2 linked regions of the Pelodiscus sinensis genome follow. The protein of the gene in region 2 interacts with the protein of the main gene of each other region in a pairwise test. Links are inferred from orthologs where the notes say so. Each region holds a gene or a part of one and is shown on either strand. Other genes may lie near its edges.

Region 1 (7,932 bases), on a different chromosome or scaffold from region 2:
CTTACTTTTAGAGAGGTTGAGCATGATCAGATTTGTACTTTTTGGGACAGGAGCTATACCTTCATATTTAGGAAGAGTCTAACCCATTTCTGATGCTACTGTAATCTTAAAAATACCAGACTATGTAGCACTTTAAAGACTAACAAGATGTTTTATTAGGTGATGAGCTTTCGTGGGCCAGACTCACTTCCTCATATCAAATAGTGGAAGAAAATTGGCGTGACCATATATACCAAAGGATACAATCAAAAAAATGAACACATATGAAAAGGACAAATCAAATTTCAGAACAGAAGGGGGTAAGGGGAGGAGGTAAATGTCTGTGAGCTAATGATACTAGAGGTGATAATTGGGGAAGCTATTTTTGTTATGGGTAAGATAATTAGCATCCTTGTTAAGACCTAGGTGTAACGTGTCAAATTTAATCATGAAGGATTCTCTGAATTTGACACTTAGGTCTTAACAAGGATGCTAATTATCTTACCGGTTACAAAGATGGCTTCCCCAATTATCACCTCTAATATCATTAGCTCACAGACACTTACCTCCCCCCCCCATCCTCCTTCTGTTCTGAAATTTGATTTGTCCTTTTCATATGTGTTCATTTTTTTGATTGTATCCTTTGGTATATATGGTCATGCCAATTTTCTTCCACTATTTGATCTGAGGAAGTGGATCTGGCCCACGAAAGCTCATCACCTAATAAACCATCTTGTTAGTCTTTAAAGTGCTATATAGTACTGTTTTTGTTTCAGCTAGACCAGACTAACACAGCTACATTTCTATTACTATTCTTAAAAATACCCTTTCCTATCTCTTTGTTTTCTGTTTGCTCTGTTCTATCTTCATGCGCCTATCTTTTGCTAGAGCCCATTCCCATTTTCCTCCTTTCAATACTAATATTTTATGCACCAGTGTGTTTCTAGTTGGCTGTTGCCTATGGTTAACACTTCTCATTGTCAAATATCTGTCTGGTGCTATCAGTGGTACCCACTCACAGCGACTGCAATAAGGCCTACTGAGGGAGGCTTCTTCCACCTAATTTCATTAAAATGCCCTAAATCCAGCTGACAATTTTTCCCTTCAGTTGAATGGCCAATTATGGGAAATGGGATAATATACTCTGAAAGTGATTTAAATTAATTTCTGAAGTTTCAGAGGAGTAGCGGCGTTAGTCTGTAACAGGAAAAACTTCAAAAACAACAAATAGTTTAGCAGCACTTTATAGACTAACAAAACGTATTGTAGATGGTATCATGCGCTTTGTGGGCACAGCCCACTTCTTCAGATTATCAGAGTTAATTTCTGAGTTGGTGTAGAATAATACTGTGGCTAGCTAAGAAGTAACAATAGTTACCACCATACAGAACAGGGTCGATTTTGAGGGGGCCTGGCACCTGTACACATATAACAGACCCTGCCGCCTCCTTAAAATACCACAAAGGTGCGGGACCATCTCCATCCACTGCTGGTCAACCTGGGCTTGAGACACCGGGGGAAGGACGCACAATTCTAGCCAGTTACAGTGCACGCAGCTGGGACCGCATGGCTCATCGACTGGCTGTAAGCGCCGGTAAATCTCTGACTGGAATAGTTACGAGCCCGGATCTGAGGCTGTAACTGCAGCGACCTGCAGTGCGCGAGCTCTAAAACCACTTCCGCCCCCCCCCCCCTTCCCGACTCCAGTGCAGGCACGGATGTTGTGATCACATGACTGTCAGGGAGGTGGACAGGCCTCGGTTTATTGGTCGGGGTAAGATCACGTGGAAGGCAGAGGGTGAAGGGGTGCGAGACAGCTGCGATGATTGGCGGTACTGAGATTGGGGTGTAGTCACGTGAAGTGGAGGTTGCTGGCTTGGGACAAATAAACATGGAGGCCATCTTCCACGAGAGGGTGAGAGGGCTGTGGGGGAGGGGGTACTTTTGGTTGAGCGGGGGGCGGGAGCGGTGAGGGCGGAGCTGACAGCCTAGGTTGGACGGGGGGATAGGAGGGTATTTCAGAGAATTGGGTAGCAGCTGATGATTGGGCTGGGCTGGAGGAGAAGAGGAAGGGTGGGGTGGGGTGAGAGGTCCTACAGTCCTTCGTAGGGAGGGGAGTTAGTCAGTGGCAGTGCCTGGGGCGAAGGAATGAGGGGGGGGGGTTGCAGCCCATGGCTGGATGCGGAGGCTGATGAATTTCTTCTATCCCGTGGAAGACTTGGAGCAGGGTAGTACTTGAAGCTGTCTTTTTAACGCTTCCCAAAGCGACTACCTGACTCCATTGCCTTATCCACATTGATCTTGATGTTATATTGCCTTCTTCTATAACTTAGTGCTGATGAGGTTCCTCTCGAGTGGAAGGGGAAAGCCAGGTAAAATGACAGTTCAACCAGCTACACCTTAGAAGAAATCTAGGTACCTTTCAAAGGTGGTTACAAGCAGTGTCCATACTACTCCTTTTTATATAGTTTGTTTGCCATGGTGAGGTTTTATTTCTAGAACCTTTTAAAAAGTACAGAAAAAATAGTATTGTGCAGAATGAAGTTTTTACTCTCTTGAGACTGAAGAATGGCTTAAAATGAGAAATGCTTATAAAGATGAGCAGTGGGAGATGTGGGTTTTATTTGTGACTTCTGGCACCATCTTGCTGTGCCTCTGTTCATAGCAACCTCTCTCTGCCTCAGTTTCTGCATGTACAGAGTGGGGATTATGAAACCTGTTTCAAAGTAGGTGTTGTGAAGACTTTTATTTAATGTTAGTACTGTGTTTCTGAAGATGTAAAGCACCATATGAGTGCTAAATATTTTGTTTCCAATGGCAAATACTTCTGCTATTCATGATTGCCTTCAGAGTCCTAAACAGTAACTTCCATACCATTGCATTCCCATGTCTTGCTTATGTCTTGTGTACTTTAATCATTACCAATAACAAGTTTTTCATACTATAATTCTTAATAAACTTCCTTTTGTAAATGTAGGTTGCTCTAGTTACTGAGAGATACAGTAACTAAATCAAACCAAACTAGTTCCTATCTGAGTTAAATGCCCCTTCCAAAGAAGGCAACCTAAAAAACCACAACTTCTTTTGTTTTTAAAATAAGTTCCTATGGAAAGATGGCTTCACAGACTTGGAATGAAAAAAGTAATTCTGCTGAAACTAGATTAATAGGTAGAGTAGTATTAATAAGATCAAAGTTGCACAGGAATTGCTATTGTTTAAGTAGTGTAAGGTGCAATTATTTTACATCAGTGTGCAGTACAAGAAACGTGTATACATTTATGAAAACATTTGCTATTTGACAATGTAGTAATCCAGATTACTGAGGTGGAATTAAAACATCTATATATAAAAACAAAGTTTCCAGCGGGATGACAGAGTGATGTCGTCTGTCACTTTGACTCCCCCAGCCTCTCTCACCCCCGGGCTCTGTGGAGTCATCTGTCACATGGAAAAGTGGAGCTATAGGGAGCTGGGGGTGGGTGCTGTCTAGCCTGTGGCCACTCAAGCTTCTTTGGAGCAGGCAGTGGTGGAGCTGAGCTGGGGAGTAGGCAGCTATGAAGCAGGGTGGCCTAACTCCATGTGTGGCAGCCACTTCACAGCCTCCCTTTGCCCACTTGGTCCTGGGTGCCTTGGGTCACAGCCAGGAGCCACTTGAGAAGAATAGAGGCAGAGATGTCTGTGTCCCTGATGTGTGCCCTTGCCTGTGGGTTGCTGGTGGAGGAAGTGGGGGTGGATTGGCTCTCTGCATCCTCCTGCCAACAGGATACCTAGCTCAGTCCTACAGTGCATGGGGCATGCCAGGTTCCTTTGTCACTGACTGCATGGAAATGCTCCCAAGGGGCGCAGAGGTGAGGGGTTCCCCCACCCACTGAACACCTCCCCCCACACTGGGGCCTTCACCCACACCCCACCCCTGCCAGCTTCATGAGGCATAAGTTGGGGGCTTAGCTCTCTCTCCCCACCATGCTGCCCCCATTGGGCCTTTGTCCCCTCCCCCGCCCCAGACTCCATGCCACATGGGCTGGTGGTTTACCCCCTCCCTCACATGCTGCCGCCCCACCCAAAGGACTCCATATGGCTCAAGTTGGAAGGCTAATTCCCTTGCCCCCTGAGGGGTCACACAGGGACAGCCCAGCAGTGTTTGGAGCAACTGCCAAGCCAATGGTGCTGTTTTCTTGCTGGTTAGGTTTCCCATTTGTGGGAGAGGCAGAGCGTGTGGAGGGAGGGAGGAAGGGGGATAGGGTGATGTGGTAAAGGAGGATGGGGGTGAAGGGGGATATAGGAATGGAGGCAGGGGGATGGGCAGTGTAGGGGTATGGAAGGGGAGGGGTTAGAGAAGGATGGGAGGGTAGGGATAGGCAGGGGGGGAGAGGGGCTAGGGACAATGGTTGTAAGAATGGAGCCAAGGGGGTGAGGATAGGGATGGATGAAGGTGATGGGGAGGTTGAGAGGTTTGGGAGGATGGTGGGTATATGAATGGAGGCAGGGGTATGGGGGTAATAATGGAAGGGGGGGTGGACTGTGGGCCATGGAGCTCCAGGCCCCAGTTCCCTCCCCTCCCCTTCCCATCCCATAACAGCACATGCGCTTCCCCAGAAGCCAAATCCAGTGTGGAACCTGTGGCCGGGGGTGGAGATCCAAAAGGCTAGGGCTGACATGGCCCCATCCCTCACTGGCAGGAGAGCCAGGTCTGCTTACCCCCAGAGACAGGGGGGTTGGTGAGCATAGCAAGCAGGGGGCACTGTCCCATAGTCTAGTTAAATATCTGAAGCAATAAGCAACATATTCTATTCTGTTGTGACATCTGTTTTCATAGATTTTAAAGACAGAAGGGACCATTGTGATCATCTAGTGAGCCTGACCTCCCATGTAGGTGGAACTTCCTCCAAAATAATTCCTGGAATTTATCTATTAGAAAAACATCCAATCTTGATTTAAAAATTGACAGTAATGGAGAATCTACCACCACCCATGGTGAATTGTTCCAGTGGGTAATTACTTTCTGCATTAAAATGTATGCTTTATTTTCAGTCTGCACTTGTCAAGCTTCCACTTCCAGTCATTGGGTCATGTCTACCTTTGTCTACTAGACAGATGAGCCCATTATTAGTTGTTTGTTCCTTATGTAGGTACTTATAGACTGTGAGCATGGCCCCCCTTAACCATTTCTTTGTTAAGATAAAAAGATCACACTCCTTGAGTGTGTTGCTGTAAGGCAGGGCTTTGGAGGACCCCGGGGCTGCAATGATTCTCAAAGCATATGCCAAGGGCTGCAACTTCAGTGTGGTTGCATGGACATGCAGATAGCTTCTTTCACGTTGAGGGGCATGAATACAAAAATTAAGGCAAGACTACTCAACACACAGACCCCATTTAAGTCAGTTCTGCTGATATTAATAAAATGCAATATTTACCTAGTTTCCATCTATATGACAGCACTTTTAATGAGTAATGACAATCCAGGAATTTGATTACTAAAACACATATCAGCAGAAGACCATTATATTGACTACTTTTTTGTTTTGGCTCCCACCTGCAGGCCGCCTGTTGAGCCCTGCATAAATCCAAACCTCATCACGGACCACAAACAAACGGGCTGTGGGCCAAGTAGCCCTGCTGTAAGGCATGTTTTCTAATCCTTTGCTTATTCTCGTGGCTCTTTGGATAACCCACTTCTTGAATTGTGAACATCAGAACTGGAAACAATATCATAGCTGCAGTTGTGCCAGTACCAAAACCAGAGGCAAGAAAAACTTCTCTACTCTTACTTGAGAGTCCTTTGTTTATGGCCCCCAGGATTGTGTTAGCTCTTTTGGCCACAGCATTACATTGGAAGCTCATGTCTCGCTGACTGTCTACCACGGCATCCAAACCTTTTTTCAAAGTCACTGCTGTGCAGGATAGTGTACACCATCCTGAAAGTATGGCATACATTCTTTGTTCCCAGATGTATGTATTTACATATGGCAATATGGAAATGCATATTGATTGCTTGTGGCCAGTTTACCAAGGGAACTCAATTGCTCTGAGTCAGTGATCTGTCCCGTTCATTATTTACCATTAGGAGATTTACCTGGTATCGTTGGATCCTTAACTCAATTAATTTTTGCATTTCTTCTTTTAAATCAGGGGTTCCCAAACTTTTTGACACGGGGACCAGTAAATCTATTCATGAGCTTTTGGAGGACTGGTAACGTTCATTTGCATATTCAATAAGCAAAAGATGAATATTCAGATAAGTTGTTTCTGGTCCTCCCAAAGCCCCCAGTGCCAGCGTTAGCAAAGCTTTTGATACAGTCACTCACAATATTCTTGCCAGCAAGTTAAGGAAATATGGATTGGATAAATGGACTGTAAGATGGATAGAAAGCTAGCTAGACCAGGGTTTCCCAAACTTTTTACTTTAGTTGGAATCTGTTTTTTTTCAGTATTGTCTTTTGAAGTCCAAAAATATAAACGCATATTAAAAAAAAAGAATGAAAAATGAATAAATTTTCAGTGTTTCACCCGGCTACATTCTCCACCCAGCCTGGGCCAGGGCTTGGGGGACCCAGCGCCACATGAGCACTTCAGGAGGCGGGAGCACAGGCAGATTGGGGGTAGGGTATCTGGCTAGGAAGGAGGGTGGAAGGAAGGGTAGGGTTGCCAGGTGTCTGGTTTTGTACTGGACAGTCCGGTATTTGAAGGTTTTGTCTGGGAAAGAAATTACCAGACATATAAAATGCCTGGTATTTTCTAATTAGGTACATTTTATTATAATTAGGTGTATTATTCCTTAGCTGCCTGGCTGGTAGATGTGCTTACGCAGTCTGAGTGTGTCTACCTGCCAGGCAGTTCGCAACTACTCCAGGGAGGGTATGTGGGGGAGAGGGGGCAAAATGGAATCTCCGGCCAGACTCACTCATCTGCCAGGGTCTGCAGGGTCTGCATGTGCGCAGGTCAGTCCCGCTTCCCCCCTTTCTCTTCCCGATCTCCCCAGTCCAGCCCTCCTGCCCCTGTCCAGCCCTGCTTCCAGCAGCCGGTTCACCCACCACCTACCAATCTCCCCCGGTCAGCCCTGCTCCCCTGATGACCCCCCTTCTCCCCCACACCAGCCCCACTACCCCCGTCCAGCCCTGCTTCTGGCAGTTGATTCTCCCGTCCTCCTCCTCCTGATCTCCCCCGGCCAGCTCCCCCTATCCCCCGTGCAGCCCTGGTTCCGCCACCTGCCCTCTCTGATCTCCGCCACCGGATAGCCCCGCTGCCCCCAACCCTGCTTCCGCCGCCCACCCACATGCCCGGATCTCCACGGGACAGCCCCACTCCCTCAGTCCTGCTTTCGCTGCCCGCATTTCCGCGGGACAGACCTGCTGCTTCCAGCCCTGCTTTGGCCGCCCACCCACCTGCCTGTTCAGATCTCCACCAGGACAGCCCCGCTGCCGCCAGCCCTGCTTTTGCCACCTGCCTGCCCGCCTGGATCTCTGTGGGACAGCCCCGCCGCTCCCAGCCCTGCTTTGGCCACCCGCTTGCCTGCCCACCTGCCCGGATCTCCACCGGGACAGCCCCGCTGCCCCCAGCACTGCTTCCCAGCGGCTGGTTCCTCCCTCCTTCCTCCCAGCCCACCACGCTCTGCTCCTCTCCCGGCAGCCATGCTGAGGCCTGGTATTTTTTTCCCGCAGCTCGGTACTGGGCCGCGACCCATAGTTTGGGAAACGCTGTTTTAAATTATTACCTGGGGGTACAGTATGCAGGCTTCCCTGGGGAAAGAACTGCTCTCGTGCAGCAGCTTAGGGCCAGGTGAGAAGTCCTTCTCTATGGTTGTTACCCTCCACCTACTGGAGCTGCATCAGCTCCAGGGGGGTGGATGTCCCCTGGCTGCAGCTGGTCCAGGCACATCTGCACTCCATAGCCAGATTGAGGAATGGAGCAAACTGCACTTTCCACTTGTTACCTGGGAAAAACCAGAAATGTTCC
Region 2 (7,663 bases):
ACCACAGTTGGAAGTGGGCCACATCCACCCTGATCGAATTAGTGCTGATGTAATGCTCCCATCTCTGTTTCTCTACCATCTGATTCTTTCCCTTCATGCATCTGATGAAGTGAGTTGCAACAAGCAAAAACTTTATAACTTGATAAAATGGTTAGACTTTCAAGGAGCCACTGGACTCCTTGTTTGTGCCTGTGTAAGCACTTCTCTGGCAATTACTCCTTAGTTATCAGGGCTGTTGGGTAACTCAGAGTGTGCTTGGAGGCCTGGTTGTGTCCTGCCACTGAATAGGACAGAGGCAGACATTTTTCCCTCTGAAGTTCAGAGGCCTTGAGCTGCTAAAGTATGTGATTTAATGCAAAAGAAGAAACTGTTACAGCACCTCATTATGCAGGAATGCGTTACAGGAACTGTATGCTAGGGTAATTTCCCTTTCTCCAGCTGGAGGACTCAAGAAAGAGCAGTATGCCCTGCAGCTCCTGCTTCTTGGTCTGGCCCCATGATGCTTCATGTGCTCTATGCTACAGGACTTGGCACTACGATGGCAGAAAATGGGGAAACTTCCTGGCATTCACTGATGCAGGGAACTGAGGACTAATTTCGCATCTTAGTACACACAGCAAAGTGTAACTTTACTGGTGATTTCACGAGGTGACAAACCCGCTACTAGCACAGAGTGCAATGGGAAGACAAATGAGGCCAGCACCAAAAGGAAGACCCAGATCACAGCAAACAGGACGACTGCCCCACTGTGGTCAGAGAGCAGCCGACATGCCAACAGGTTGTGTCCCCCAAAAGCCCTGCCACATGCCCAATGGCAATGAAGCGCAAACTGCAGCAGGTACAGGACTTAATGTTTATTTAAAAAACCCAGACACAAACAAAACCACATTGTAATAGTGACGCTCTGCAACAGCAGGCAGCATCACAGATACAGCAAAGACTAAGGCTCTGCAGGGCTTACTGAGCAAAGGGTCCAGAGTTCAGACAAGCACTTGCAAGTGGCCAGTAAGATCTTGCTTTGCTTCCCTAATTTATATCAGGAATGATGCTTTACAGAGGCAAACAAGATTGTAAATTACATATTTTAAACTCCTCCCTCTGTCCCAGAGCTGCACAAGCAGAAAGGCGGGCTTTGATGGCTGTTGTATTTCTCAGAAATCTGTGCTCGAGAGCAACCACAGCTGCAATGACAACTTGGAGGCAGAAGTCTGAGCGGGACATGTCTCACTTATTCTTAGTGAGAAATTCTGCAGCGCTGGCCACTCTATTTTCTTGCTGCCCTGTATCACAATAGATCAGCCATTCCAGCCCAGGAGAGATGAGAAATGAACAAATGTTGAACAGCCAGTCTCGTATTGCCTTTTGCTGGAACCTGGCTCCAATCACACCCCCATCCAAAGAGTGAGGCCAGAGCTAGCTGCAGAGGCTCACCATCCCTCTAGGTACTGGGATAGATTAGTCATTTAGTAGATTACGGTCTGGTGATTGGTTTTCTGCATCTGAATGATTTTGCCAAAGCCACCTCTTCCCACATCATAGTCTGTCCGGTATTCGTCTCGCACCTGGGGCAAAGCAGTAACACAAATCAGCATCTGCACCTGGCTAGACAGAGACATGCTAGGCACCCTCTTCGCATACATTGGTGGTGGGCTGAAGCTCAGATTACAAGCCTTTGCAAGCCCTTAAAATACCTTGCAAAGGAACCATTACCAAGGAGACTGATGGGAAGACCTGACTTTTCTAATGGCGGGGCCATCATTAGACATAATGAAGCAGCAGAGAAGGGCCAAATTCTGTTTGGTTTTGCTTTGCAGTTCATCTTTATGAATCGCCAAAGCCTGAACCTAAAGCTTTGTTCCTCTGGAAATCTGGGAAGAAATTTTAATCTTCTCATAGGCATCATTTGATGATTAAACTAGCTTTAGAACCACACCATCCCCATTATGATCCTGTTTCTCACTCCCCACCTTGATTGCTACACCCTTTTGAGAACACTATCTTGAGAAGTGAGCAAAGCGGTTTGTTTTGGGCCATAGGGAGCTTGGAATGTAGTTTCAAAAGGCATTAAGTACCATGCTCCTACTCTAGTGATCTTAAAATAATTTTAGACTGGCTTCAGTTCATTACTGGGTCTGCCATGGATGACTGCCTTTGTACTAAGGATGTGAATGAATAGTCGGTTAATCTAGTTGGCTACTCGCATTCTGTCCCCGTTGCCTCTGTATCTGAAGCAGCAAGGGGAGGGAGAAGCAGGAGCTGGTGCCACCTGCTTCGGCCCCCCATACCCCACACTGCTGCCTCTGTCCCAGCCCCCCGTGGACAGGGGCTGCTGCTGGAGCAGCCTCTGTCGCTGGCCAGCCTGGGTTGCTGCAGACAGAGATTGCTCTGGGGCAGCCTCCACTGCCTCCTACTCTCCCAGTAGCCTCTGTCCACAGGGAGCTTGGACCCTTGCAGACAGGACTGTTGCAATCCTGCACTGCTGCTTCTGTATCAGAGGGAGCAGTGCAGGGTGGCAAGCAGCCAGCCCACAAGGGGAGCTGGTTTTTAAACAGTTTCTCCTCGCAGACTGGCTCCCTCCTGGCACCCTGCACTGCTGCCTCTGATACAGAGGCAGAAGCGCAGAGTGGCAGGGGGCTCCCTCAGAGTGGGGCCAGATTGCATGGCTGCCGGCCCTTCCCCCCACGGACTATAAAATAGTCAACTAACCGCTAAGAATTCAATTAACCGACAGCTAACATCCCTACTTTGCACTGGATCGGCCAAAGGTAGCTCCACCCATCACCCAGTCCCAAGGAAGGCTGGCTCAGTGCTGAAGCTAGTATTTTCTTTACCTGTCCTCCAGACTTTCCTCTCCCATATTGTCGTCCCTCCTTAAACCCTGCATCCCAGTCAGTCCTGATGATCCGATCATCCAGTCGGGTGCCATTGATATACCTCATTGCATGCTCAGCATCTGCTCTTGTATAATACCTGGAATTTGTTATAAGGAAGACTCAAAGTGTTGTTCAGCTTGTCAATGCCAGCTGCATACAGGGAATGAGAGAAATGACTATATCCACAGCAATGTCAGTGACTGAGGCAGGATGGTAGAGAAATAGCAGACCCTGTGAAGGAGGGAAACTGTTTGGTACTGTGAATGAAAGCTCACAATTTTCATGTTTGCTCACATATCACAGGAGCATTCCCAGCTCCTCCAGAGAGGCCAGATATGCTCTGTAACATGCTGATGTTCAACAGAACTGAGGGGATATAATCCACCCAGGATGCGATTAATCAAAAAGCAGTGGCAGAAAAATTATGGCAACAGAAAACGGAAAAGGATACTCCACGAAGCAGAAGCCACAAGGGGTTTTCTTGACCTTGTCTAACCCCATGACAATCCTCTTAACATCTCCGCATTTGGAGAAGAGCTCCTGGATCTGCTCCTCAGTGGTGTAAAAGGACAGGTTGCCCACATACAGTGTGGAAGAGAGCTTCAGGGCCTTATCCTGTAGGTATCGGCTACCCTGAGAGCACAACAAACAGTAAATGGAAACAGCAACCTACTGTTCAGGGAATGCCTGACCCACTGGTTGTGAAACTGCTACTTCTGCCTGTTTGAGAACCTCCCCCTCCTACTCCAGCAATGAAGTGCAAGATGGCAATCATGGCAAAGGGCATGGGCACTTCTGCCTCCCTCAGGTTTGGGTACTGCACCCTGCCATCTCCTGGGCTGCCATCAGCACCTCAGGACCTGCCCCCTGGCGCTGTGCATCCTGTCCCCCGCCGGTGCTGTACACCCATGTGCCCACCCCCCGGTCCTGTGCTCATCCCCTCAGGCTGCCGCTACGCACCCCTGCCCCCAACCCTTGGCACTGTGCACCCTGCCCCCACCCCTCAGGCCCCGCCCCCTGGCGCAGTGCACCCTGCCCCCACCCCTCAGGCCCCGCCCCCTGGCGCTGTGCACCCTGCCCCCACCCCTCAGGCCCCGCCCCCTGGCGCTGTGCACCCTGCCCCCACCCCTCAGGCCCCGCCCCCTGGCGCAGTGCACCTGCCCCCACCCCTCAGGCCCCGCCCCCTGGCGCTGTGCACCCTGCCCCCACCCCTCAGGCCCCGCCCCCTGGCGCAGTGCACCCTGCCCCCACCCCTCAGGCCCCGCCCCCTGGCGCTGTGCACCCTGCCCCCACCCCTCAGGCCCCGCCCCCTGGCGCTGTGCACCTGCCCCCACCCCTCAGGCTCGGGCCCTGCCTGCGCGCACCCGGAAGTGCTGGTCGCGGTACTGGCTGATCTCGCAGTAGGAGTCGCTGCTGAGGCCGCCCAGCGTGGCGCTCAGCGCCCCCGACATCCCGGCCCGGGACCCGGAACCTTCCAGAAGCAGCACGGGGCCGCCTAGCCGGGAAGGGAAGCGCCGAGCAGCCCATTGGCTAAGCGCCTGCTACTCACCGCGAGGGGGCCGGGCCTACAACCCCATTGGTGAGGGGCCGCGGTATACGTGCGTCACGTCACGGCAAGCCAATCAGCGCGCTAGGCTCGGCCGCCGCTAGCAATAAAATGGTGGCGAGGCACCGCCCACCTCTCGCGCTGGGTCTCTGGGAGCTGTAGTTGTCTGGCTCGCGGCAGGGTGCGCGCGCAGCACGATTTATCCCAGCATACTCCGCGGCGCGAGACGCCGCCTGCTTGGGCGGGAAACGGTGCCTGGCTGAGGTGGCGCGAGGCGAGTGTCGCTGCCCGTGACAGGAGCCCTGCCCGTCGGCGGCAGGTGACCGTGCGTCCCCGGCGGGGCTCGTAGCCCGCCATTGTATGCGCGGAGGTCGCCTTCCTCGCCGGCCTCCCCCGGGAGCGCGGGCTGCGGCCGTGAGGGGCTCGGCGCTCGTCGCCTGGGAGCGCTTCTGGGGTGGGTGACCCGCCCTCGGGGGAGGCCAGGGGAAGCTGAGGGGTGTGGCGTGGGGGGGGGGGTGTCAGGAGTAGCAGTGGCCCTGGGCAGGGCGCTGAGGGGTGTGGAGTGGGGGGGTGTCAGGAGTAGCAGTGGCCCTGGGCAGGGTGCTGAGGGGTGTGGCGTGGGGGGGTCAGGAGTAGCAGTGGCCCTGGGCAGGGTGCTGAGGGGTGTGGCGTGGGGGGGTCAGGAGTAGCAGTGGCCCTGGGCAGGGTGCTGAGGGGTGTGGAGTGGGGGGGGGGTGTCAGGAGTAGCAGTGGCCCTGGGCAGGGCGCTGAGGGGTGTGGAGTGGGGGGGGGGGTCAGGAGTAGCAGTGGCCCTGGGCAGGGTGCTGAGGGGTGTGGAGTGGGGGGGGGTGTCAGGAGTAGCAGTGGCCCTGGGCAGGGTGCTGAGGGGTGTGGAGTGGGGGGGGGTGTCAGGAGTAGCAGTGGCCCTGGGCAGGGTGCTGAGGGGTGTGGAGTGGGGGGGGGGGTCAGGAGTAGCAGTGGCCCTGGGCAGGGCGCTGAGGGGTGTGGAGTGGGGGTGTGTGTCAGGAGTAGCAGTGGCCCTGGGCAGGGTGCTGAGGGGTGTGGAGTGGGGGGGGGTCAGGAGTAGCAGTGGCCCTGGGCAGGGTGCTGAGGGGTGTGGCGTGGGGGGGTCAGGAGTAGCAGTGGCCCTGGGCAGGGTGCTGAGGGGTGTGGAGTGGGGGGGGGGGTGTCAGGAGTAGCAGTGGCCCTGGGCAGGGCGCTGAGGGGTGTGGAGTGGGGGGGGGTGTCAGGAGTAGCAGTGGCCCTGGGCAGGGTGCTGAGGGGTGTGGAGTGGGGGGGGGGGTCAGGAGTAGCAGTGGCCCTGGGCAGGGCGCTGAGGGGTGTGGAGTGGGGGTGTGTGTCAGGAGTAGCAGTGGCCCTGGGCAGGGTGCTGAGGGGTGTGGAGTGGGGGGGGGGGGTGTCAGGAGTAGCAGTGGCCCTGGGCAGGGCGCTGAGGGGTGTGGAGTGGGGGGGGGGGTGTCAGGAGTAGCAGTGGCCCTGGGCAGGGCGCTGAGGGGTGTGGAGTGGGGGGGGGGGGTCAGGAGTAGCAGTGGCCCTGGGCAGGGTGCTGAGGGGTGTGGAGTGGGGGTGTGTGTCAGGAGTAGCAGTGGCCCTGGGCAGGGCGCTGAGGGGTGTGGAGTGGGGGGGGGGGGTCAGGAGTAGCAGTGGCCCTGGGCAGGGTGCTGAGGGGTGTGGAGTGGGGGTGTGTGTCAGGAGTAGCAGTGGCCCTGGGCAGGGTGCTGAGGGGTGTGGAGTGGGGGGGGGGGTGTCAGGAGTAGCAGTGGCCCTGGGCAGGGTGCTGAGGGGTGTGGAGTGGGGGTGTGTGTCAGGAGTAGCAGTGGCCCTGGGCAGGGCGCTGAGGGGTGTGGAGTGGGGGTGTGTGTCAGGAGTAGCAGTGGCCCTGGGCAGGGTGCTGAGGGGTGTGGAGTGGGGGTGTGTGTCAGGAGTAGCAGTGGCCCTGGGCAGGGCGCTGAGGGGTGTGGAGTGGGGGTGTGTGTCAGGAGTAGCAGTGGCCCTGGGCAGGGCGCTGAGGGGTGTGGAGTGGGGGGGGGTGTCAGGAGTAGCAGTGGCCCTGGGCAGGGCGCTGAGGGGTGTGGAGTGGGGGGGGTCAGGAGTAGCAGTGGCCCTGGGCAGGGCGCTGAGGGGTGTGGAGTGGGGGGGTGTCAGGAGTAGCAGTGGCCCTGGGCAGGGCGCTGAGGGGTGTGGCGTGGGGGGGTCAGGAGTAGCAGTGGCCCTGGGCAGGGTGCTGAGGGGTGTGGCGTGGGGGGGTCAGGAGTAGCAGTGGCCCTGGGCAGGGTGCTGAGGGGTGTGGAGTGGGGGGGGGGTGTCAGGAGTAGCAGTGGCCCTGGGCAGGGCGCTGAGGGGTGTGGAGTGGGGGGGGGTGTCAGGAGTAGCAGTGGCCCTGGGCAGGGTGCTGAGGGGTGTGGAGTGGGGGGGGGGGTCAGGAGTAGCAGTGGCCCTGGGCAGGGCGCTGAGGGGTGTGGAGTGGGGGGGTGTGTCAGGAGTAGCAGTGGCCCTGGGCAGGGTGCTGAGGGGTGTGGAGTGGGGGGGGGGGTGTCAGGAGTAGCAGTGGCCCTGGGCAGGGCGCTGAGGGGTGTGGAGTGGGGGGGGGGGTGTCAGGAGTAGCAGTGGCCCTGGGCAGGGCGCTGAGGGGTGTGGAGTGGGGGGGGGGGGGTCAGGAGTAGCAGTGGCCCTGGGCAGGGTGCTGAGGGGTGTGGAGTGGGGGTGTGTGTCAGGAGTAGCAGTGGCCCTGGGCAGGGCGCTGAGGGGTGTGGAGTGGGGGGGGGGGGGTCAGGAGTAGCAGTGGCCCTGGGCAGGGTGCTGAGGGGTGTGGAGTGGGGGTGTGTGTCAGGAGTAGCAGTGGCCCTGGGCAGGGCGCTGAGGGGTGTGGAGTGGGGGGGGGGGTGTCAGGAGTAGCAGTGGCCCTGGGCAGGGTGCTGAGGGGTGTGGAGTGGGGGGGGTGTCAGGAGTAGCAGTGGCCCTGGGCAGGGCGCTGAGGGGTGTGGAGTGGGGGTGTGTGTCAGGAGTAGCAGTGGCCCTGGGCAGGGTGCTGAGGGGTGTGGAGTGGGGGTGTGTGTCAGGAGTAGCAGTGGCCCTGGGCAGGGCGCTGAGGGGTGTGGAGTGGGGGTGTGTGTCAGGAGTAGCAGTGGCCCTGGGCAGGGCGCTGAGGGGTGTGGAGTGGGGGGGGGTGTCAGGAGTAGCAGTGGCCCTGGGCAGGGCGCTGAGGGGTGTGGCGTGGGGGGGG

What was found.
Region 1: the proteins of TEX11 (region 2) and ATXN3 interact in binary tests that used the Homo sapiens proteins (3 or more experiments, as listed by UniProt). The link is inferred for Pelodiscus sinensis from reciprocal best matches to the Homo sapiens genes TEX11 and ATXN3.

Annotation. Positions count from the first base shown.
Region 1 is NC_134714.1:30,852,945-30,860,876, forward strand, and holds the start of ATXN3 (ataxin-3), read left to right. Parts: upstream 1-4,914; 5' UTR 4,915-4,929; coding exon 4,930-4,970; intron 4,971-5,518; coding exon 5,519-5,597; exon of another isoform or gene 5,598-5,722; intron 5,723-7,932. UniProt on the Homo sapiens protein: Deubiquitinating enzyme involved in protein homeostasis maintenance, transcription, cytoskeleton regulation, myogenesis and degradation of misfolded chaperone substrates.
Region 2 is NW_027465980.1:262,887-270,549, forward strand, and holds the start of TEX11 (testis-expressed protein 11), read left to right. Parts: upstream 1-4,607; 5' UTR 4,608-4,738; intron 4,739-4,748; exon of another isoform or gene 4,749-4,873; intron 4,874-7,663. Other genes in the region: nuclear cap-binding protein subunit 2, read right to left, coding at 1,464-1,562, 2,832-2,970, 3,325-3,506, 4,238-4,324. UniProt on the Homo sapiens protein: Regulator of crossing-over during meiosis. Involved in initiation and/or maintenance of chromosome synapsis and formation of crossovers.